Linked DNA regions of Rhinolophus ferrumequinum. The protein of the gene in region 3 interacts with the protein of the main gene of each other region in a pairwise test. Links are inferred from orthologs where the notes say so. Each region holds a gene or a part of one and is shown on either strand. Other genes may lie near its edges.

Evidence for each region.
Region 1: the proteins of ZXDC (region 3) and POGZ interact in binary tests that used the Homo sapiens proteins (3 or more experiments, as listed by UniProt). The link is inferred for Rhinolophus ferrumequinum from reciprocal best matches to the Homo sapiens genes ZXDC and POGZ.
Region 2: the proteins of ZXDC (region 3) and WDR5 interact in binary tests that used the Homo sapiens proteins (3 or more experiments, as listed by UniProt). The link is inferred for Rhinolophus ferrumequinum from reciprocal best matches to the Homo sapiens genes ZXDC and WDR5.

Annotation. Positions count from the first base shown.
Region 1 is NC_046305.1:51,432,395-51,440,444, reverse strand, and holds the start of POGZ (pogo transposable element with ZNF domain), read left to right. Parts: upstream 1-5,032; 5' UTR 5,033-5,371; intron 5,372-6,269; exon of another isoform or gene 6,270-6,410; intron 6,411-8,050. UniProt on the Homo sapiens protein: Plays a role in mitotic cell cycle progression and is involved in kinetochore assembly and mitotic sister chromatid cohesion.
Region 2 is NC_046295.1:81,292,537-81,299,582, forward strand, and holds the start of WDR5 (WD repeat-containing protein 5), read left to right. Parts: upstream 1-3,995; 5' UTR 3,996-4,151; intron 4,152-4,590; exon of another isoform or gene 4,591-4,745; intron 4,746-7,046.
Region 3 is NC_046302.1:3,197,994-3,205,648, forward strand, and holds the start of ZXDC (zinc finger protein ZXDC), read left to right. Parts: upstream 1-4,574; 5' UTR 4,575-4,652; coding exon 4,653-5,604; intron 5,605-7,655. UniProt on the Homo sapiens protein: Cooperates with CIITA to promote transcription of MHC class I and MHC class II genes.

The DNA.
Region 1 (8,050 bases), on a different chromosome or scaffold from region 3:
GGCTGCCAGGAAGCAGGGTCCCTAGGAAAGAGGAAACTCACATTCACACCTGACTCACAGTGCTTACACACCAATGCATTTCAACACAAACCTAGAAGTGAGAATTATTTCCCGGATGAATGAAGGTTAAATGATTTTAAATCGGTGAGTTTTGGCTCTTTCACATTTTCAGATTTTATTACCCATATGTTTCAGGCAATAGTAAAGACATTAAAAATGAATCCTTGAGTGTTTTAGGAGATGGGCTCCTTGCTACTTCTCAATCCTACTGTACGTGCTCAACAATAAGAGACCCAAAAGGATCTGACCACTGCTCTACACCAGAAACCTTTAAAACTTATTCTGGAGGATACTTCCGTCTTCTTACCTGTAAAATAATATTAATCCTTATGTCCTTCAAAAGAATGAACCGGGAAGTTATTTAATATCCACAGTTGTGGTCTGGAAATTATCCAGGACTATAATAAAATACAAACACTGCTAAATTAGAAAAGCATGTATCCTAGAGAAAAAAAAGAATTTTAATTAAATTTTACTTTGCAATCTATTATAATGAACAAGCCACATAACAAGTGTGTCTGTAAAGGAAGCCAATTCCTTTTTCCATGAAGCTGTATGGAATCAATTCAATTACTTTATAATCATACCTGCTCAACTCCACAGCAACAACCTAGATATATAGCTTTGCTAATGGGTGTCTCTTTGATAATATTAATTTAATTCAAAGTTTAACTAAATCATTATCTCCCATGAAATCATACCAAAACTTACAGAGAAATCTTGATGACTGATGCAGTTGCTGCTCCTGTGTTTCTTGCAAAATATATTTTGAAGACGGAGACCTTCAATTGCTTCTTACTGAAGTCTCATGGGGAACTCTTCTTTTAAATACCCAGTCTGAAAGTTCCTCTGGCTATTTCTCACCTCCTGAGAATTTTCTGAGCCCCTAGAAAAGTCCTCAACTCCTCTAAACATAAGGAGGCAGCAAATGATTTACTTAAATAAAATCCAGCAGTAGTCCCCGAATTCCCCGTTGTTTATTTGACACCTGGTCAAACACAGATCTTCACCTGCCCTTTATTTCATGACAGTTTCCCTGCTAAGCAAGGCATTTCGGAGTCCTCCTTTCCACCCCTATGTGTTGATTTCTCTTGACTCCCAGGCTCAGTGCAATCTGCTGTCAACCTTTTTGAGCTGGGAGATGCTCAGATAGTGAAGATTTCGCCACTGTTTTTCTAGCTCTGAGGTCTTCCCAAATGAGTAGCTCCCTTTGAGCGCCTGGTTTCGACGACCCTGAGTGTGTGTTGTAGGGAACAGGATGCTGGTTTGTAAAGGAAACTTGGCATTCTCTCCCATGGAGCTGTTTTCTGCCTGGACTGACCTCACAATCCTCACAATCAGGTGACCACCCTGACACCTACCTGTCAACTTGACACTGAATCTGAGCAATCAGTGGTTGGGTCTGTATATTAGCAAAATGACAGCAGAGGGCCCCCATGGTTCACTGCTTTTGAAGACATGCTGAAATAATTTGTCTTTCTGCCTTGACACTCTCCAAGCTACAGGTGGTTCCAATTTTCAACTCGTGGCAGAAACCATAAGCCAAGGAAGCAAATAAGTGTTTCCATAAACGGTAGAAAAGAAATACTCTCCTGCTACCTACCTGTGAGATGCCCAACTTGGTACTTCCATTAACTTTTGACCTTCTTTCTAAGAAACTCATAAGGAGAGGATTCAATTTTTCTAAGTTGGCTACTGAAGACTGGGGTAGCTTTTCAGCAGCAGTATGGGGTTCCATTTCTTCAATAGGCCAGTCTGGATTGGCTTTCAGAGTCCTCCCCATTATGTTATAGAGGCGCACGCGAATGGATTTCTAAGGATTCCATCCAGGTCGTTGGTTCTGCTGCTTTGGTTTCCCATGAGTACCAAGATGGTTCAAACATAAGAGCGATCACAGCTATCAGTTCTGTTACTTCACTCTAGAAACTTGTGTGTTAGCTGAAGACAGGAACATGTCCCAGCTCTGTCCAAATTAATATGGGCATTCCCTCCTTAGCATGGGGAATACGTTTCTGGAAATGGGAACGCTTAGAGATGGTGCTCCAGTGTGCAAGGTGATAGAGTTTTCTTCACATCCTCTGAAGTTATACATGACTCTGCCCCAGCCATTCGACGATTGATAAGTCCTCCCAGACTGGAGCACAGTTGGGGGACGTTTTATAATGTCAAAGAGTTTACTCCATTCCCTGATTGTTCACCTTTACCCTGTTTCCCCAAACTTGTTCCTCAAAGGTATCTCCAGTCCCTGCAAAACTCCCATGTTAACATTCAGCACAATATTCTTTCTTTATTTCTTTGTGGCAGGCATAGCACCATCACTCACACACACTTTGTTAGCCATTACATGTCAAAACTGTCTCTCAGGGCACAAACTACATCATAGAAAAACGGGTCACAGAGTAGTAAGTCCCCAGCTCCCACCCTGGTCCAGGCCACCAACGTGTCTCACCTGCATTATTGTACTTGCCTCCCAACCTGGCTCTCTGTGGCTATCCTTGCCCCTACCAGTTTTTCTCTAGAAGCAGCGAGAATGATCCTTTAAAAGTGTTAGCCAGGTCATGTCAGTTCTCCGCTCAAAATCTTCCAATGGCTTCACTTCACTAAGAGTAAAACCTGAACTTGGTTTCACTTTCTTTAGATCTGTGCTCAAATGTCACCTTAATGACGAAGCCTCCTCCAACCACCCCACATAAAAATAACAATTTCCCCATCCCCTTCTTCAAAATCCCAATTCCCCCTATCCTGCCCTGTTCCCCATCTACAGCATCTATCATCACATCACATTTACATATTTATTTACAGAATGTGTGGCAGATCACTTTTTCCAAGATGGCCACAACAAGATTTCCCATTCCACACACTTTTCTGACCATGTGATGTTTCTACCACTCCCTTTGAGAGATGTTCCCCACCTGCCTTGAATTGGGGTGAGCCTGTAACTGTGGTGGAAATGATGTTATGTGACCTCTGAGGTTAGGTCACAAAAAAACCATGCAATCTCTGCTGGGTCCTCTCGGACCACACAATCTAGGAACTCAGCCACTATGACATGAGGAAGCCCCGGCCACAATGAGATACCAACAGCCAGCTGTTCTGGCCAACAGCTCTAGCTGCAATCCAAGCCAACAGTCATCAACTTCTAGACTTTTGAGGAAGCTTTTGAGATGACTTCAGCCCCAGCTACTGCCTGAGACTCCAAGTGAGAACTGCTTAGCTTAGCCTAATCATCTCCCAGAGCCATGAGAAATAATAATAAAATTGTTTTAGTTCTAAGCCAGTAAGTTTTGGAGCCATTTATTATCTAACAATAGATATCGGAACACTTTGTTTCTGTGTTGGTGCAAAGGTAATTGCGGTTTTTGCAATTATTTTTAACCTTGTAAACCGCAATTACTTTTGCACCCGCCTAGTATATTGTATGCCTCTCCTCACTAGAGGATGTTTCATGAGTTTAGGGATTTTGTTTGTTTTCTTTATTGCTGTATTCCCAGAACATAGAACCATACCCGGTATATAGCAAGTACTCAATAAATAATTGTTGAGTGAATGGATGCAGGATGCATTTTCAGTATGGTATGTGAAAGGTTATTGGTCAACAGTGTGTGGTCCAGTCTGTTGGGCTAGGCCTCATTGGCAGAGAGCGTAAGTTGGCACTTACAGCGTGGCAAAATATATGTTCCAACAAGACTACTTCAGAGGCAAATTACATTATAATAAGTTACAATAATTATTGCAGGAAAGCATAGAATGGGATTAGAGCTTCATGTAGAATTTGTCTTCTGCTGATTGATTCCATAATCTTACCCTAGGCTTCTCCAGATCAGGTCTGGAAAGGCTTCAGAAGTATTTTCAAAAGGATTAGTGCTTCTTTCCCTTCAGATAATGAAGTTCTTCTGAGAATGACCACGGAAAATCACTCACGTTTTTGGTATGAAATGGGATGAAGTGGAATAAGAACGGATGGTGGTATGGGAACTCATGTACATGGGTGTGCAATGTGGAAGGCCCCCTTACACTGCTTATTTTCCTAGTCTGGTGGTTTGAGTGCAGTGTGTGTGTTAACAGAAGGAAGAAATATGGTTCTGGATCTCCCCAACCTCGCACCAAGTACTGGATTTAGCATTTGGATTGGAGCAAATGTTTGTGTATTGCTTAGAGAGCAACATCCTCCTCAAATAGCCAAGGAAAATATTAGCGTTTTATCATCTCGGAAGGTAAGAAAGGACACATTTTCTTAGTTTCCTGGAAAAGAGGTTAGTTTTTGTCTGGGGGAAAATAACAGGTGGATGGTCTTGAATGGACTAAGCAATTTCTTTGGGCCAACCTACCTCAGCCTTGATTGAAGCAAAAAGCACAAATGTGGAGTCTATGGTTTCTTAGAATGGAGGGTCTTAGCTGAGTCTATTCACAATGGTTTCAAAGCAGTTTTCACACAAGAATCACCCTGATAAGCAATCATGTGTGGCTTCTTTTCAGAATCCAGAAGGGTTCAGGGTAAAATGGCTTTTAAAAGTTCTTCACTTCTGGCTACTACCATAAGGCTAATTGATTGAATCTCTTGAGGAAGTGTGCCATTTTGCTGCCTTTGTTCAAATGACAGTTGTTGGTGCCATTGGGCCTCACCATCTGGCCTGTGGCATGAGGTTCCCTTCTTGATTAGGTACAAGCCTTGGGTAGAAAGTGGGGAGATGCCCAAAATTTCCCTGGAAAGTCCAGGCAAGTGAATTGGGGAATATTTTCTTTGGAAATCCCATTATTCTAACCAAAATTTAGATATGGCTTCTGAAGCTAATTATTATTTCATTTAAAAAAAAAACAAACTGTTTTTATTTATTTATTTATTTGCAGGCCCAGGCAAACTTGACTAGAAAAGAAGCCCGGGCAGGGGTTAGGATGAGCCCATGACGTCCCCGGCGCCCCAACCAATTGAAAGGCCACGAAAAGGGGAGGGCGGAAGTGACGAGCCGTATCCCTCCGCGGGGCGAGAGGGTCGGTGGGGGGAGTCGGCGTCTCTCTCCCCCGCGCCAGCTCCCGTACACGGAGCCGCATTCCTTGGCCCCCCCACCCCCCTCCCTCGGGGCCCCCCGCCCCCCTCGGGAAAAAAAAACCACCTCAAATCACTCGAACCCGAGGGAGGTTTCCTTGCACCCTCAGGGAGACGAGCTTTGAACGGTCCCCTCTTTCCCTTCTTCCCCCCAAACCCCCGTTCCCTCCCCTGCTCCCACCCCCTTCTCCCGGCGCCGGGTGTAGGTCCCTTTAAGGCGACGGCGCCTTCCTCGGGTCAGACTACCGGCGGCGACGACCACGGGAGGTGAGTGAGCGAGAGCGCCTTCTCTCTCCCCACCCCCTTCTCCCGGGGGTTCCGTTATCTTTTCGCTCGGCGAGGCGTTCCGAGGCGAGACAATGAGAGGGGGATGGGGCGGCTACGCGAGGGGTGGGGGCGGGGGCCGGTAGCGCGCGCCCCCGCCCCCCTGTGAGTGGCGGCGCGGCCCGCGGCGGCGGGCGTGGGGTGCGGCGCGCGAGCGCGTGTGTGAGTGCGTGTGCCCCGCGAGCCGCGAGAGCCGCGCGGCGGACCGGGCCGCGGAGGCCCCTGCCTGCCTGCCTGCCGGCGCCCCCGCCCCCCGGCGCCCGCCGCGGCGCGCGCGCGCGCACTCGCGCCCCACGGCCCCGCACACACCCGACGTCCACACGCACGCCCGGCGCGAGGCGTCTCGGAGGAGTGGGCGGGCGCGGGCGCGGGCGGCTACCCGCTGGGGAAGGGGCGGGGGCGCTGGCGGCGGCGAGACGGCGGGGCGCGGCGGGAGGGCCGGGCCAGGGGGCGAGGCCGCGCCGGGGAGGCGGGCGGGAGGGGCGGCGGGGTGACGTCCCCGGGGTGGGGGAGTGCTCGGCCCCCCGCGCCCCCCGCACCCCGGGGAAGGAGTGGGGCGCTCTTTTTGAGCGCGAGGAGGAAAAGGAGTGATGGCTTAGCTGCTCCCCTGTGTTATGTAATCTCCACTCGGTCCGATAGTACATCCCAAGTCTTAGTTCACTGCAGTTACTTTCCCCAGTCTCCTCCCCCGGCCCCCAAATTTCTTTGGGATGGCGCCGTGATTTATAAAATGGGATGAGGCGGAAAAAAAATCTATTTTCCGATTATTATATCCTGCCGCGGTGGGCGCCATGTTTATTCTAGGGACTATTTTCTCTGGATTCTTAGCACCTATTGAAAAGGAGTGATGTTGATCCACCTGCTTTCCCTCCTTTCTGCGAGTTGTCCTGGTGTCTTCTCCCGTTAGACGCGGGATTCCCTCCAACTGTTGATGACACGTTTCTCTGCTCACTAGTCGTGGACATTCTTTGCTCAGAAAAAGGTAGAGCTGAAGAGCCTTGTAAATCATTGAGCCCAGTCTCATTTTTGAGGTGGAAATGGAGGTACCAAATTGAGGTGGTACAATCTCAGAATAGCCTTCTACCCTATGTAGACACCTCCCCCCGGAGCTCAAAACCCCACGTAACATACCAGCTATGTTGAAGGTGTATCTCAAACTAAAGGAGCTAACAAGGATGATTCTTAGCATGAACAGAATGGAGTTTTACTCTCAGGAATTTTCACACCTAGATGCAGGGGAAAGGAGGGGCTACAGAGGGCTGTTTCTTGGTGAAGGACGTTGAATTTCAAGACATACTGCTCTTCGGTCTGGAGGTTGGACTTTGAATTCGAACCACTTAGCACAAAAGTTAATTTCGGGGTGCATAAAAAGTACCTTAGAGATTGCCAAAAAGTGCAATTTTGGGGACCGCATCCCCAAGTCTGTTTGGGTGTGATGGGGAGGGAGGTGTCACCTCTACATTTTTAATCGGCCCTCCTTCAGCTGAGACTGATTAACGTAACTACCACATAGAGAACTATTGGTGTAGCATAAAGGTACTCAAAATAGAATCTTTAAACAGAATTAAATTGCAATCTGTGCCCTTGATTTCCTGCCCCTTTCCTATATTATGGTTATAACATACCAGCTATGTTGGGGGTGTGTCTCAAAACTAAATAAACTAAGGAATGAAGACTCTTGAACAGGATTTTGGTAGTGTTTCCATTCTCAAACTAAAGGAACTAACAAGGATGATTCTTATACCACCTTGAACCAGTGGTATAATTTAGGAAAGCGGTTCTCAAAGTGTCCACTGACACCTGGGGACCCCCTCATACCCTTTCAGGGGAGCTGTGAGGACATAACAATTTTTAGAATGACACTAAGACACTATTTTCTTCGCTGACGTTTGCACTCGTGGTCCAAAAGCAACTGGCGGTGCCTTAGCATAAAGCAAAGAAGTGGTGTGAAACTTGTACTTACTTGAGAATGTCCTTGATGAAGCAGTAAAAATGATTAATTTTATTAAATCTCAGCACTCGAGTACATCTTTTTAATTTTTTAAGAATCTATGATAAATTGGGAAGTGCGGGGTTGGAAAATTAAGTTTGCGAACTTGTTGCAACAAGGTGGCTAACCTTTTTTTGATATCAGAAGGATCATTCATTATGAATTTTACACAAAAAGCACTTATACTGCCTTCCAGGGTATGATCGTTGACTTGTGAGCTGAATGTTTCATGGAACAGCATTTTTACTTGAAAGAACGATTGACAAGCTAGTTTTTTACACTTGAGTGCGTGACGGATGTTTTCTTGAAAAATTAATGAAGTGAGCTTGTTACTTCCAGGAAAACAGTTGACAGTATTTGTTACCAATGATAAAAATTTGAGGGTGAAAATTAGAATTCTTTAAAAGTTGACATCTCAAGTTTGACAGTTTCCCAGTATTTAAAACTTTTCTTATAACAGCAACGTGAATGACTGTTTTTTTTAATTATTGTATAATGATGCATGTCAACATTTGGAAGATGGGCATAGCTCAGTAAATATGTATTTTCCAAATGACCTGTGCATGATGTTTCAGAATCACCATGGGTAAAAAATCCTTTGAAAATGCAGGATACACCAATGGATTTTAATA
Region 2 (7,046 bases), on a different chromosome or scaffold from region 3:
GACGGGGTGAAAGAACAAGGTCAAGTCCCAGCTCTTACTTGCCACGTGGCCCTGGGCAAGTCACTGAGGCTGTCTGAGCCTCCATTCTCCTCATCTGTAAAATCAGAATAGCTTTCAACTAAATCCCTGTTGGGGATTTAAGGGGACTGTATTTAAAGCCCTTGGCAAGTGAAAGGCACACAGTAGGTGCTCAGGAAGAACAGCTGCAGTGGTTTTTAATAACAAGGACAAATGGAAATAGTTTGATGTGACAGGGGAACACAGGTGGCATACTAGCAGCCAAATTTATATTCCTTAAAAATGCCCCTCCCAACCACTGTTGCTCAACCCCCCCTATCCTCACTACCCCCAAAAAATCTGAAGCCTTTGAATAAAACCCCTTGGCTTTGGGGGGCCTCTGATTTCCACCTGCCAGACATAGGAGCTGTTTCTTTTGCACTTGTCAGGACCCCTCTCTAACCAGGGGGATAAAAGCCCAGGCCGGCTGGGGAAGGGATTTACAGACCAGATCGGAACAGGTGGGGCCTGACTTGGGAGGTGGGAGCTGCATTCCAGGGATTCCTGCTCCAGGACACCGGGCTTGACTGGTGACCGGAACACCCAGCACTGCCTGGAAGGGCCGTCCAGGGCTTCCAGACCTGGAGTCTGGTGGAAGCTGAGGGCAAACAGATTTCGTTGTGGGGACTTTGAGGCAAGTTAGGATACGTTTAAATCCAACAGGAAGTGAGAGCGAACATTCCAGGATTCATTCATTGGGAAGGTCTTTATTAAGCACCTACTGTGTGCCTCTCCGAGCAGTCAATGTGGCCTGGACAAGCTGACCCTGCTCCCACGAGTCAGCAATAGTGAGGGGGGTGGACAAGTGAAGGGACCCTGATGACGGCCAGGGCACAGGCAGGGCCAGGAAGGGAAGGGACAGAAGCAGCATGGGAGGTGGCCTAGGGCTGAGCCTGGGGACCTTGAGGAAGGGACAGGGCAGGTCCGGGCTTCCCTGCAGCTGAGGGACTGCCTGAGGTGGGGGTTTTCAGTTCTAAGATGGACTGTGCCAGGCACACGGGGCCGCTGGTCACCCTGGTCTAGGGCAATCTAGAGGGGTCACCTTAGAGAGGGGGGTATCAGGAGGGGAGCTGATGCAGGGGAAATGAGGCTGGGGGTGCTTACTAGTGGGTGGGAGGGAGAAGGGAGCAAAGGGACGGGTCCACGGTGGAGGGGTACACACTGGGTGAAGGCCGTGGGAGGAGAGAATTCGAATTAGGAGAAACCCCAGAGTCGATGGCAAGAGTTGATGCATTCTTCCTGTCTAACCTGCTCTTTCTGTACCTGGGCAACTGAGGCCAGGGAAGACAGAGAAGGATGGTGGCAAAGTTAGAACTAGAAATGGCTTTCTGGATACCAGAGTAGGGAGTGGCCAGCTGACTCAGCTCCCTGAAGGCCCACTGGGACAGAGGGATGGTGAGCAAAACACCTGTCCTCATGGACCCTGAAGGGGTGTGGAGGAAGGGAAAGCAGAGCCTGAGGAGGGGACCTGGGGACGCATATCTCCCAACCAGCTGCCCTGGCGTAGTTACCACGGGAAAAGGAACTTAACACAAAGCCCCACTGACCTGGGCCGGCGGGAGCCTCTGGGTCTCCAGGCAGCGTCAGCAGCAACCTGGAATGATGGCCCAGCGTAGGCGGACTGTCCAGTGTAGAAATCTGGTGAACAACTCCTGGAAGCTCTGAGTGCTGGGCATCCTGTGTCCCTCGTCTTCCAAGACCCTCCCTCATCAACTGCCATCGGAATCCAAAGCTGTGGGCTTGGCAATTAAAGGGCCAGTGCTCCCCACCCAGCTTGCTGCCTGCTGTGGGGACACCACAGCATTTGTGACATGTGGTCTGTTCTTCTGCCACCTCCTGGCCAGTGCTCTTGAGTTTAGCAGTCCAATGTCCCTGATGAAATATTTATCACTGGATAACTAAAGATGGCTTTTCAAAAGCTTCAAGTCCCATGAGAAGGTAATGTACTTAATTTAAGCTCTGCCACCGCCATAGAGCCTCCCTGACTATTCCTGTTGACACAGGTTGCTCTCTTCTTTCAACCGTCATCACTTGCTTTTCACTTATTAACTCATCCATCATCCATCCATCCACTATACATCTATGCATCCATCACCCATCCATCCATCCATTGATAAGCATCACTGTATATTGTGTAGTCGGGTGGTTGGGCGTGCAGGCTCTGCCTTGATGTCCAGGGTTGTGCCTGCTGCATGGGGGTCCTTGGGAAGCTTCTTAACCTCTCGGAGCCTCCATTTCTTCATTATCAAAAGGAATAAAGGCACCCCTTTTATAGGCTTGTTGTGAAGGTGCAAGGAGATGACATGTGACAAACTTACTGGAGAACTGAGCATACAGGTCCTCCTCCTCCTCCTTTTCCTTCTGTCGTCCTGTGACACCTGCCAAGAGTGCTGTGAGGAAGACTCCAACCCAGCTCAACCAGGAGACACTGAACCAGCAATCACAAAGAAAGATGAGCGTTTCCACTGGGAGGATATGGAGGCGGGGGGAATGTAGCCAGGAAGACTCACTAGTTTTGGGGATCAGAGAAAGAAGCCCAAGCGGACATTGGCTGGGGCGGGAGGAAGGCTCTCAGAAAGAGAGCCTGGAGGAAGGACCTGGTTGAGGGGAGAGGGTGCCCAGAGAGGTTCATATTGTCTGGTTGATGGCGCAGCCTTGAGAAATGTCGTATCTATAAAAATTGTTCATGAAAACACATTCATTTTCCAATTCGCTCCCATTGGCCAAAGCACAGTTAACGTTCTGAAAAAACAAATCTCCAAAATGCTTTCCCCTTCTCTGTAGTTGTTATGCTTTGTTCAACTTCCATTCATGATTTTTCTGAGTCTGATAACATCTTAGGAGGGATAGAAAAGGGTTTAAAACTTAGACAAGTTTTTAAAGTTTTTGTTGAATTGCTTTACCTGCTGTATTGTTGTCAGGATTTTCCTTATGACTGCAGGAATGGATTGAAAAAACACTCCACAAAGTTAGAGGATTTTCTCATTTTTGCTGGAGGTGAGACCAATTTACCTGGGAATCTGGTTTGAGTTCTGTGGTCAGGACCCATGTCTTGCTCCCCCTGCAGGGTTGGAGGACTGGGAAATATATTATACTTTGGATCTGGGGCTGAAGCCTGGGGTGCACAGTTTGGGGGTGGTATCAGGCTAGGCGGGGAGGCCCGTCTGGTAAATTCCATGGCAGAGTTTGGATTTGGACCCGAAGGCAATGGGAAGCCAGCTCTGAGTCTTAAACCAGCAGGTGACAGATCAGAGGTGGCGTTTTAGAAGTTCTGACTGCTTCAGAGAGGTTTGAAAAAGGCCAGTTGGGAGGCGGAACCAAGGCAGGCAGGTGGATGGAAGTGCCCCCTCTTTATGACTATGGAGATTTGGTTACCTGTCTCACGCTCCAGGGTACTGGCACAGGTGAATAGGCCTCCTGGGCACAGAGATCCACGGAGCTGTGCTGGGGCCAGACAGGGACTTTGCTGCCCCTGCGTCCTCCTTAAAGTGGGGGCTTTCAGACTAGCTACCAGTCTTGGTGCCCTTGTCTATAACAACCACACACCTCACTTCCCTGGACATTTCCATTTTCAATGCTCTGTCCTTTTGTCTGCACACTTTCCTGTGTCATAATCGGTGTTCCCATTTTTCATTGGGAAATAAGAGACTGCATGTTATTGTACCCAGGGCTTGGGTTGAGGCGTGGAGGTCAGACCCTGACCACCCCCAAGACTCTAAGACCGATATGGTAGCAGAAGTGGGGCGGGGCGGTGAGAATGCACAGGACTTAAGGCCAGAACAGCGGCTCCAGGTTCTCCTTACGCCCTCGAGCCTTCCTGTCTGGGCCGCCCCTTCCACATTCGTAACTGGAGGTGATGATACCTGTGTGTGACATCACCTTGCAGACAGCAGCGCAGTCTGCATGCAGTGACTGTTCGTATTGGCTCTCCTTGTAGGGGGCCTCAGGAGAGAAGCAGGTGCGCCGGGCGGGCTCTCCGCTGAAGAGGCAGGAAGACCACCAAGCAGGCAGCCCGCCCTGCGGGAGAGCGGGTGGGCGGAGTGCCGGCATTCGGGACCTTTTGGAGCTCTGGGTCCTCCCAGCAAAGTGGGAAGGTAAGGGTCCCCGTCTACTGAGGTGTCCAGACCATTAATGGAGACACTCCGCGGAGAGGAAGGCCAGGGCAGGGCCGGGCTCTGAACGCTGCGGCTCCCATCAACAGGACGGACGCGATCCCAGAAGAAACATTGGGGCCCTCGCTGGCCCTAGGTTCCCGGAGGGGAGATCTGCTCCTCCTTGGGAGCGTCGCTACAGGGCGAGCTCAGGATGTGAGCATTCGAGGGACACACTAGCACTTTTCTGTAGTGTCTTTATACTTCAGTGTGTAGAAAGTGCAGGCGAAGAACGGCCTGCACCGGCCACCTTTGGGGTTAACGCTTTTAAGCAGGAAGCGCGCGCATCACGCTGTCCCTTTAAGGCGTTGGACGTGCCCGAAGCATTCTGCCCCTCGCCGCTCCCCGTAGCGCCCCTCCGAAAGGCCGGCTTTGTGCTCTTGCCCCGCCCCAATGCCGCTCCGGTCCCTCGCGCACGCGCACGCGCACGCGCACTGCCGGCCCAGTGCCGCCTCGTCGAGCTCGGCCTGGCTCCCGCCCAGGCGGCGGCTGATGCGACTCCCGGAGCGCCCGCTCCCGCCCGCTGCGGCCCGTCAGGTAAGCGGGGGCCGCCCGTCCTGCGGACACGCGCATAGGGTGGGGGGCCGACGCCGCTGCACCCCAAACCGCCGCCTCCGCACGTGTTCCGGCGGGCTCGGCCTCGGCCCGGGGTCCCGGCCTGCCGGGGCCACTCGGTGCAGACGCCCCACGGGCCCACGCCGCCTCGCTTTCCGGGTATCTGCCCTGAGCCCCGCCGGCACGGCCCCCTCCGCTTACCGGAGCCCCGCCCGCGGAGGTCCCGTTCTGCTTCTCCAGACGGATCCCCAACGGTTCCCGGGACTCCCGGCGCTCATCCATGCGGCCGGTCCTCAATGGTCTAATGACAAGCCATCAGCCAGGGGGCTGCGACGTCTCCCTGCAGCCAGCCCGCATCGCCCCTTGTCTCCGCGGCTTCTCCCAAGGAAGAGCCCAGACCCACCCGGGCCAACGGCGCCTGGACGGGGCGCGCAGACTCGTCTGCCTCCTGCAGAAACGCCCCTGCCCCGACCCGCTGCTCACGCTCCGTCGAGGCAGCCAGGCCTTCGCTCTCCCGAGAGCCCGGGGTCCCAGGATGGGGTCCCTCGGGTGCGGGCCCGCTGTCAGGAAGGGAGAGACGACTCCGGCCTCGCTGAGGTTTCAGTCCGGTCCGCTAGAGCCATCTTGGGTGATGTGAAAAGATGCGCCTGGCCGTGCTGTTTCTTCCTCCTCATGTCCATTTACCAACCGTGTGGCAGGTGTCGCGCCCGACGCTGCCTCCCAGGTTGGCCCGGCTCCATAGAACGATAGGTGAGCTAGAATGGAAGCGTGTGTCCCAGGACCCAGGTGGGGCTGGCCACCTTCTTGTCCCCAAGTTACCTCTTGTTTTCCCACATCTGAGGGCCCAGTCTCGGGAGTGGAGCCCAGGAATCTGCTTTTTACAAGGCGTCAGGAGAGCACTCCAAGGAGTGGGCGGCCGGGCCCTGGGTGGTTAGGGTCACCTGGGTGCACACCTGTGCGTCCTAAGGGGGCAGGTAGCGTGTGCCCTGGAGGGGGACTCCAAATTGTTCCCGCTCACCGCAGACCCTCCTTCCTACGGAGCCAGTCCCTAACCAGCCTCCCAGTTGCCTCAAAACAACTGTTGCAGACTCACCTGAATGTTCATGAAAAAGGTCACGCTTCCCCTTCCCCCTTAGGTAGAATCTTGGGGCATTGAGACCAGAAATCTAGTTTTAGGAGTCCAGCTGATTTTTGCCTGTTAATGTTTTGCTAGCGCAAGCGGTGGGTGGGTTGGGCTGGAGCGGGGAGGGGTTGGGCACCTGTTAAGACCACCGATTTGTATTCCCTGGTCCTCACCCGAGGACAGCCGGTTTTGCCCTGCCTCCTGGTGGGTCTCAAGTTTTAAAAGGAAGCTGCTCTGTGCCTCCTGAACTGCCCGTGCACCCTAAACGAAGCCTCTTCTGTTCCCACTGGTGCTCCTCCGGGCACCCCACGGGCCACCTGTCTCAGCCCTTGCCTGGTCTGGCTCCCTCAATGCCGGGTTCTGTGAAGCAGACTTCCAGCTCTCTTCCCTAGCCCTTCCCTTCGCTGCCCTTGGCCAGCTCACTTAGGAAGGCGGCACTGGGGCTAAGGATAAGCACCGTGCAGCTGGCATTTACTGAGCATCAGCTGTGTGCCAGCACGTTGGCCCCTGGCATGTTTACCCAACCTGCCCCTTCTCTCTCCACTCAAGTACCGGGGCTTTGGGCGCAGTGGGATCCGTCTTGCTCCAGGTAAACAGCCATGTTTGCCCGTGGGCCCTGCACAGCTGTGCTACGTTGTTATTTGTCTCCCTCCCCTCTTGGATGAAGACGTTAGGCGTGCTCTTTTTTGTGTGTGGCTTCCATTTCACCTTGGTGTGAGGCGGGGTTTGTGCAAGCTTTCAGTTTGAAGCTCCAAGTGAAAATTCCCAGTGTATAAACTTATTAAAGATGGTGCCAGCTCCAGGAGCCGGACGGCCAGTGATAGTTGCAAGAACGTCTTGGTGGCTCTCCTTTTAAATAACGCTTCCCCTACTTGCAGAGTTACCTAGTGTGCTGTGCGGTATGTCTACGGAATGGAACCTGTTCCTGTGAGAGGAAACAGTCGCTTACGCACAGCTTTTGGGTACTTGCCGCTGTCAGTGGTGAACCCTAATTGAGCTGCAGTCTTTCCCCTCCTCTGCAGCGTCTTGCTTGCACAGGATCTGTGCATAGTTCAGGCCTCAGCAGGCAGGCCTGGCTCTGGTTTGGGCTGTCCGGCCGAGTCTCGTGGTTGCCTCACCAGGACAGAGAGCCTTTCGAGCTGTTGGCGTCCTGGTCCTGG
Region 3 (7,655 bases):
CCGCATGAAGTCCTAGAGGGACACGGGTCGCGCTTTACCAGACTTCTCCTTTAGGCTTCTCCGGAATTGCTGTTCCGGACGCGACTGTTTCCAAAGTTCCAACAAGAGTGCATTGGGTTGTCAGTCTATTTTTTCCCGATGGACCCCTGCTGCCACGAGATCATGCCACATCTGTGCGCATGTTACTCTCTGAGGCCCGCAACCTCGCCGCTTTACTTTTGATTTGGGCTTCCAGGTCTCAACTGCGCGGACCTCCTGTCTTAACCTCCTTCGCCTCCGGCTTTCAACATCCCTTAGGGTGGCCATGGCAGTTGTAACTTCATGGATCCGTCGCCCCACATAAAGTGTAAGAATGGCAACCAAGGATCCAAAAGCACTCGCAGGTGCAGTATCCAAAATCAGATCTCTCATGCTGGCTGTAAAAAGCTCATCATCTAGCCACCGCATATTAGGGTTGAAAATAGCATGTCTCATACCCATTTCTTGGATGATTTGAGTAAGTTCTGTATATGACTGCCATTTACTCACAGTGTCAGGCAGCTCGCCAGCCTGTCCCCATACTGTGCGTACCGCAGCAGTGAGCCACTCCATTAGAGTGTGGTTGCCCTGGTCTTGGGCCAACCTATGGCAGTTCTGTAACCTTTGTCGCAGGGACGGATGCACTGTCACAAAGGCTAGCTTTTCCATCTCACCTGGGGAGCAGAGAATATTGTCTGCTCCCTCATCCCATAAACGTAATAGCCAAGCCGAGACTGGCTCTCCAGGGTGCTGTCTGTACTGCCTCCCCAGCTCCTGCAACTCAGTGGGAGTGTAAGGGGTGTAGGTTGTGAACTCATGGCAGCTGGGTTGCCTGTAGCAACGCCCCCGGGGAGCAAAGGTTGCTCACGTTTTACCCTTTGCTTCAAGATTGGCTGGGCTTGGGGGTTGGGAGCTACATTGTCTCCACTGGCTTCCTCCGCCTCTGCCTCAGAGTCTCCACCTTGGGGCCCCTCTTCTAACAGGCGGACCTTGGCTTCCAGTGCCTCCAACCGGGATACCTGGTCGGGCACCTGGGCCATTTCATTATGCGTATTTTCCGTGTTGAGACTCAAGGCTGTAAGGAACATCCAGCCCATGTGGCCGGCTGTAGCATTTGCCTCCTCCGACAACTGCTCAGCTAGAACCTGCAGGGCCCTCTCCACGCTGGCCAGAGAGCCGTCCATGTCCTCCCCCCCCCTCCTTGGGGGTACAACTCCTGAGAACAGTGGCCACCGGGCACCACACACTATGTGGGGGCCACACGTCCTCCTGCCCAGAGTCAGACTCCATTCCTACCTGGTCGGAATCCTACTTGCTGTGCCAGGTGTCTGGGTGGGTGGAGGCCTCTGTGTAAGATGTCCACAACTCTAGGAGCCCAGGGCAGCAGCAGACTACCAAAAGTAAGATGACACTTGCTCTGGCCAACACAGCAGCGTGCCATCCCGAGGTTTGAGTCTCCCAGGCAGACCGTGCCTCCCGTTCCCGGTGTTGCTCCTCACGGGCCTCCTGAGACTCAGTTTTCACACGCACAAACTGTTCCACCATCCTTCGGTAAGTTTTGGCTGGCACCACACCCTGCTCGCAAGGCCATTTGTCGTGCGAGGCGGCCTGCGGGGCCTCTAGTCCCGCTCTTCACATAAGAACGCAAGACATGGTGAGGCCATAAAGGAACACCCACAGAGCCATAGGTAGGGGAGTCATACCACTATAGTCTCACTGGCGGCACTGTAGTCTCACTGGAGGCTGGAATCACACGCCCTGCAACCTGCTGTCCACTTCTCTGTCTGCCAACCGACTGACTCTTCCAACCAACGCAGCCACGGCAGTTATATCAGTGGCTAATTGGCTAACTGGTTACAGCTGATGGCCAACTAACCACAGCTGACGGCCATCTACTACCTGAACCAGCACCTTTCCATGTGAGGCCGAGAGCCTGGAAACTGCTCTCTGGGACTCTGTCCCCACCCTGGGTCATATGGAAATTCTATACTTAACTTTTTTAGGAACTGCCAAGCTTTTTCCCACAGTGGCATCACCATTTTGCTTTCCCACCTGAAATGTATGAGGGTTCCAATTTACCCACATCCTCACCAACACTTGTTCTTTATAAAAAAAATTATAGGTGATAGATAGTAGGGGGTTTGGGGGCAGGGTGAAAAAGTGAAGGGATTAGGTACGAATTGATAGTTACAAAAGTCATGGAGATGTAAAGCATATGCAATCTAGTCAATAATATGATAATAGCTATGTATAGTGCCAGATGAGTACTAGTTAGGGGATCACTTCTTAACTTATACAAATGTCTAACCACTATGCTGTACACCTGAAATTAATATAAAATAATATTGAACGTTAACTCTAATTGAAAAATTTAAAAAATTAGGGAAATGGTGAAGGGGAATAAAAGGTTCAAATTTCCACATATAAAACAAGTAAGTCATGGGAATGTAATGAACAGCATGGGAAATGTAGTCAATAATATTGTGATAGTGTGGTACAGTCAGATGGTTTCTGGACTTATTATGGTGATCACTTCTTTAGGTATCTAGATGTTGAATAATTATCATGTAACCTGAAACAGATATAATGTTGTATGTTAGCTATATTTTTTAATAAAAAACTTTTTAAAAATTTAAAAAAATTATAGGTATCTTAGTGGGTGTGAAGTGGAATCTCCTTGTGGTTTTGATTTGTGTTTCCCTAATTGTTAATGATGTTGAGGATGTTTTCATGAGCTTCTTGACCATTTGTATTTTTTTATTTGGAGAAATGTCTATTTAAATCCTTTATCTAGTTTAACATTTTTGTTGTAGAATTGTAGGATAGATCCTATGATTTTTAAAATATATTCTGGATAGTAGATCCTTAGCAGATATATGATTTGCAAACTTCTCTCCCATTCTGTGGATTGTCTTTTCACCTTCTTGTTGGTGTTCTTTGACCCAAGAGTTTTTAAGTTTGATGAAGCCCAATTTGTTTCTTTCATTGCTTGTAGTTTGGTTTCATATTTAAGAAACCATTCCCTAATCCAAAATCACACAGATTTACACTTATGTTCTCTTTTAATAGTTTTAGAATTTTAGCTTTTACATTTACATCTCTGATCTATTTTAATTACTTTTTGTATATGGTTTGAGGTGGGGGGGTCTAAATTTTTAATATGTGGATATACAGTTGTCACATTACCATCTGTTGAAAAGATTATTCTTTTCTCCATTGAATGGTCTTTAAAACAATATATTTTTGGCATAAATACATACATATACAGATATTTTCTATTCTTTTCAATATTATTGATGTACTTATTTTTAAAGTTTATTTAATAATAAAACATTCATCTATTCAATAAATATTTACTGAGAGTCTTTGCTGCTAGCATCTGGGCATACAGATGTGAGTGGTACTGACACAGTGCCTGTCCTCACAGAGTCTGCATTCTGGAGGAGGGCACAGACAATGGATTAACAGAGAAAGGGACAAATAAAAACAGTTGCAAGTGAGAGTTATAAGAGGAAACAAAAGGGGGAGGTGGAGAATAAGGGTGTACTTTGGATCTTAAGGCCAACCAAGTCTTCCCAGAGGAATTAGAGACCAGCTGTGCAAAGATTCTGAAACTGTAAATAGTTTCGCCTTTTGGAAAAACTGGGAAAAAGATGGGGGCACTGAGATTGCAGAGGGCTAAAGTGGTGAGAAATGAGGGCAAAGAGGGAAAGGAAGGGAAGATCAGCAAGGCCATAAGAGAAATGGGGAGCACACAGTAGAGGAGCATAACTAGATTTGCATTTTTGGAAGACTATGAGAGACTGCCCTGTAGATTGGGTGGAGGGAGTGGTGGATGGAGGTTGAGGACCAGCCTATGGAGTATTTTCTTAAGAACTCTGAGTGAAATAGGGGTTTGGATCTCGGTGGCTGTGATATGAAAAATTGGAGGGACTCCAGATTCAATCTGGAGGCATGGGGTTAGGGGAGGGAGGCAGGGCAACAGCTGAATTGAGTCAACAATGAGTAACAGGGCTATGGTGTGAGATTGTGTGAAGTTTATTGGGAAGTGCAGTTGGAAGTGTGCGCAGAAGTCCAGTCAAGGAGGCCCTGTGTGCCAGGAAAGGATGTGGGGTCACTGCAAGAGAGGTCGGTGGCCAGAGGTCAGCAGTGGGATGGTTCGCAGTTTAGTCAGCTCCCTAAGGAAGTTGTCCAGCCCCGTTGTCAGGAACTAAATGTTCCAACCCTGGCTCTCCCAGTTCCTGGCTGTGCGATCTAGGTCAAGGGACTCGAGCTCTCTGTGCCTCAGTTTCTTCACACTTGTGTGAACGGTGCCAACTGCAATCATTAAACCAGATGAAACACGATTGCTCTAAGTCAGGCTAGCCTACTTCCCAGGTAGGGAATCAGACCTCAGCTCCCCAGGACTGGGATTGGCCCACGGTCCCCGGCCTCACGGAGCGGCCCTGACGTCACGCGGCCCAGTAGGCCCGCGCCCCGCCCCGCGGATCACGCGCACGCGCGGCTCCGGGTCGCGCTCCGCGCCGAGCTTTGGCGTCGATCCGTCGGGGCGGCCGCACGGCGTCGCGCACGCCTGGGCGGGGCACAGCGCGCTTCTTCCGAGCGGCGGCTGCGACGCCCCAGCTGGGCCCAAGATGGACCTCCCCGCGCTGCTCGCAGCTCGGAGCCCGCGCGGAGCCCAACATGGCGGCGGCGGCGGCCCCGGCGGACTCTGCCGAGGCCCGGGGCCGCCGCCCAATCCGAGTCCCGCGCGCCGCCGCCTGCTGCTGCTGCGGGGTCCCGAAGATGGCGGGTCGGGGCCGGGACGAGGGGAGGCCCGGGCGGCGGCTGCGGGCCCCGGGCCGAGCCCACCGCCCCTCGAGGACGGCGGAGAGTCCTTCGTGGTACTGCTGGAAGTACCGCGCAGCGCCGCTGCCGAGGCCCCCGAGCGGCGGGAAGCTGAGTCTGACTTCGGCACGAGCCCCGCCGGCGGCCCCCAGCAGGGCCCCAGCGGTTCGGCCGCAGCCCCGGGACCCAGCGCGGCCCTCGCGGGCACAGTCACCATCAGCAGTCAAGACTTGCTGGTTCGCTTCGACCACGGCGTCTTCACGCTGGCGGCCGCGCCGCCGCCGCCCGGCCCACCCGCGCCGCCGGGCGACGAGGCCGCCAGCCCGGCCGAGGGCCGCCGCGGGCCCCCGGCCCCCGGCCCCAGCGCACCCGGATACCGGTGTCCCGAACCGCAGTGTACGCTCTCCTTCGCCAAGAAGCACCAGCTCAAAGTGCACCTGCTGACGCACGGCAGCAGCCAGGGCCGGCGGCCCTTCAAATGTCCCCTGGACGGCTGCGGCTGGGCCTTCACCACCTCCTACAAGCTTAAGCGGCACCTGCAGTCTCACGACAAGCTGCGGCCTTTCGACTGCCCGGTGGGCGGCTGCGGCAAGAAGTTCACCACCGTGTACAACCTCAAGGCGCACATGAAGGGACACGAGCAGGAGAATCTGTTCAAGTGTGAGGTGTGCGCCGAGCGCTTCCCCACGCATGCCAAGCTCAGCTCCCACCAGCGCAGCCACTTCGAGCCCGAGCGGCCCTACAAGTGTGACTTTCCCGGTAACCGCGGGCCTGCGGGCGGGCTGCGGGGGGCTCCCGGGACCCCAAGTCCAAATTCAGGCGCTCAGAGTGGGTGCGGCGGCGCCCTGCCCCCGGCTGTTAGCTTGGGCAGGATTTTAACTCAGTGGGCCAAGGCTGAGGGGCGGGAGCGGAAGCGCGCCGGGGTCTGTGTTGTAGCTCTTCCCAGGGCATCTGAACCCTGCATTGCTGCGGGGGTTTCGACAGCGAGGTAGCACAAATAATCAGACGTACTTCCCCATGGTGGAGGCAACAGATGTGCCGACGGGGCTTCCGGTTAACGAAAGAAAGAACTGCACCTTCCCAGAGATTTTTTACCAGGTTTTTATTTTCCTCGGTCTCGTCACTTAAAAATACTCATCAGATATTTACGGGGCACACACTCGGTGCTAGAGGAAAACATGAATAGCCAGGTGTAAGACCTTAAAGTGGTGTAGTACAGTTTTTGTGCCCACTATGCTTTCCTTTGGACTTCACAGTTTCGTGAAGTTCTAGAAAGCATCCTCATTTCACAGATGAAGTGTCTGAGGCCTAGCAATGTGGAAAAAAATCCAGTGGTGGCTCTTTCTCTAGTGATTCCCTTCCATGCTGGGGAGATAAGGCTTCAACACTGAACTCTTCACCAGAATGGGCAGGTTTAGGTGCCCCAAGAAAGACAGTGCCTCTAGGGAGGAAGAGAAGATTTCTACATAGGAAGGAGTTGGCTTGGGGGGACTAGGGTAGGAGGCAGTGCAGGTGGGTGAAACTGCAGAGCTGAGGCAGGGAATGTGGGTTGTGTTTAGGGTGGGGGAGGGCCAAGCAGAAGGTGAAGGACCTTCTGTGGCCTCTTCATGAAAACAAAAAGGCAAGCGTGCCCTTAGCATGAGCCCTGTGTGTATTGACATGCTATATACACTCAGGGCTCTCCTAATGTATACGTTATAAAATATACTCTAGGGACTTTGAAAGAGTGAAATGAAAAATACTAACAGGTTCCAGTATTTTCTTCCCATGTGCTGTGAATTGTCTGGTGCGTTTTTGTGGGGAACGTAGCTTTAGGCCACTAATTGGAAACCTTTTTCAGTCATGTACTTGGGGATCTGACAGTGGCTTAAAAACTTCCCTAGTAAAATGCATAGAGAGGATGACTCTGACAAGATCAGGAATCCAGCCTGCTTTAGGGCATGAAGTCTTCCTGAGGATTTTGAGTTGGCTGATCAGTGTTCAAGATGGATAGAAGCGGGAGAGGGATCAGTGAAGCCCCATGGAATGTTCCAGATAAGAGTTTCTTGAGGACTGATCTAGGCAGTAGCAGTGGGAATGGTAAGGTGGCTCCGTGTAGGAAAGATGCAGAGGCAGAATCAAAGGGCTGGGTTGCAGATGTGGGGAGGGTAGTTTTCCAGCATGCTCAGATTTACCTGACTACACCAAAGCCTGAAACAGGGAAACGGGGGGTGGGGGGGGGGCAGATTTATGGGAAAGAGGATGATTTTAGGGCATTTAGGGAGATTAGCATTTCCCAGTTCAGTGTTGCTGGGAAGAACAGGGTTCCTTGGGCCAGTCAGTACTTTTATGTGGTGCTGTGCAGTGTGTATCTGCTGGGTGGTTTACGTTTACAGTCACTATGGTAGCATGTTAAATGCTCTTGAGAAGAGCTGCAACAAAGACACCTGATAAGCATCTTGCAGGTTGATATTTTCCAACTTATTTGAACACTGAATGTATTTGCCAAAGGAGAACCTACTGGTGTGGAAAGTAATAGGAATTGCTCAGGTAGGCTCCTTCGGCTGGTGGCTCAGCTGGGTGCTGAAGATATTGGTGATATGAGTGAAGATGACCCTGGTAACTTCCTTTGACAGAGCAGGGAACCCTGAGGTAATGGGCAAAAGGAAAAAGAGAAGCCAGATGACAGAGACAGGGGCTGCCAGTTGCAGAGGATGTCAGGGAGGACATTTATGAGTGTAGAGGTGGTGAAAAAGTCTCATATATTACCATGTGGCTCTTTCAAGCTCAACTCTAACAGAAGTCTTGTTCCTTGGTATATCATTTCTTCC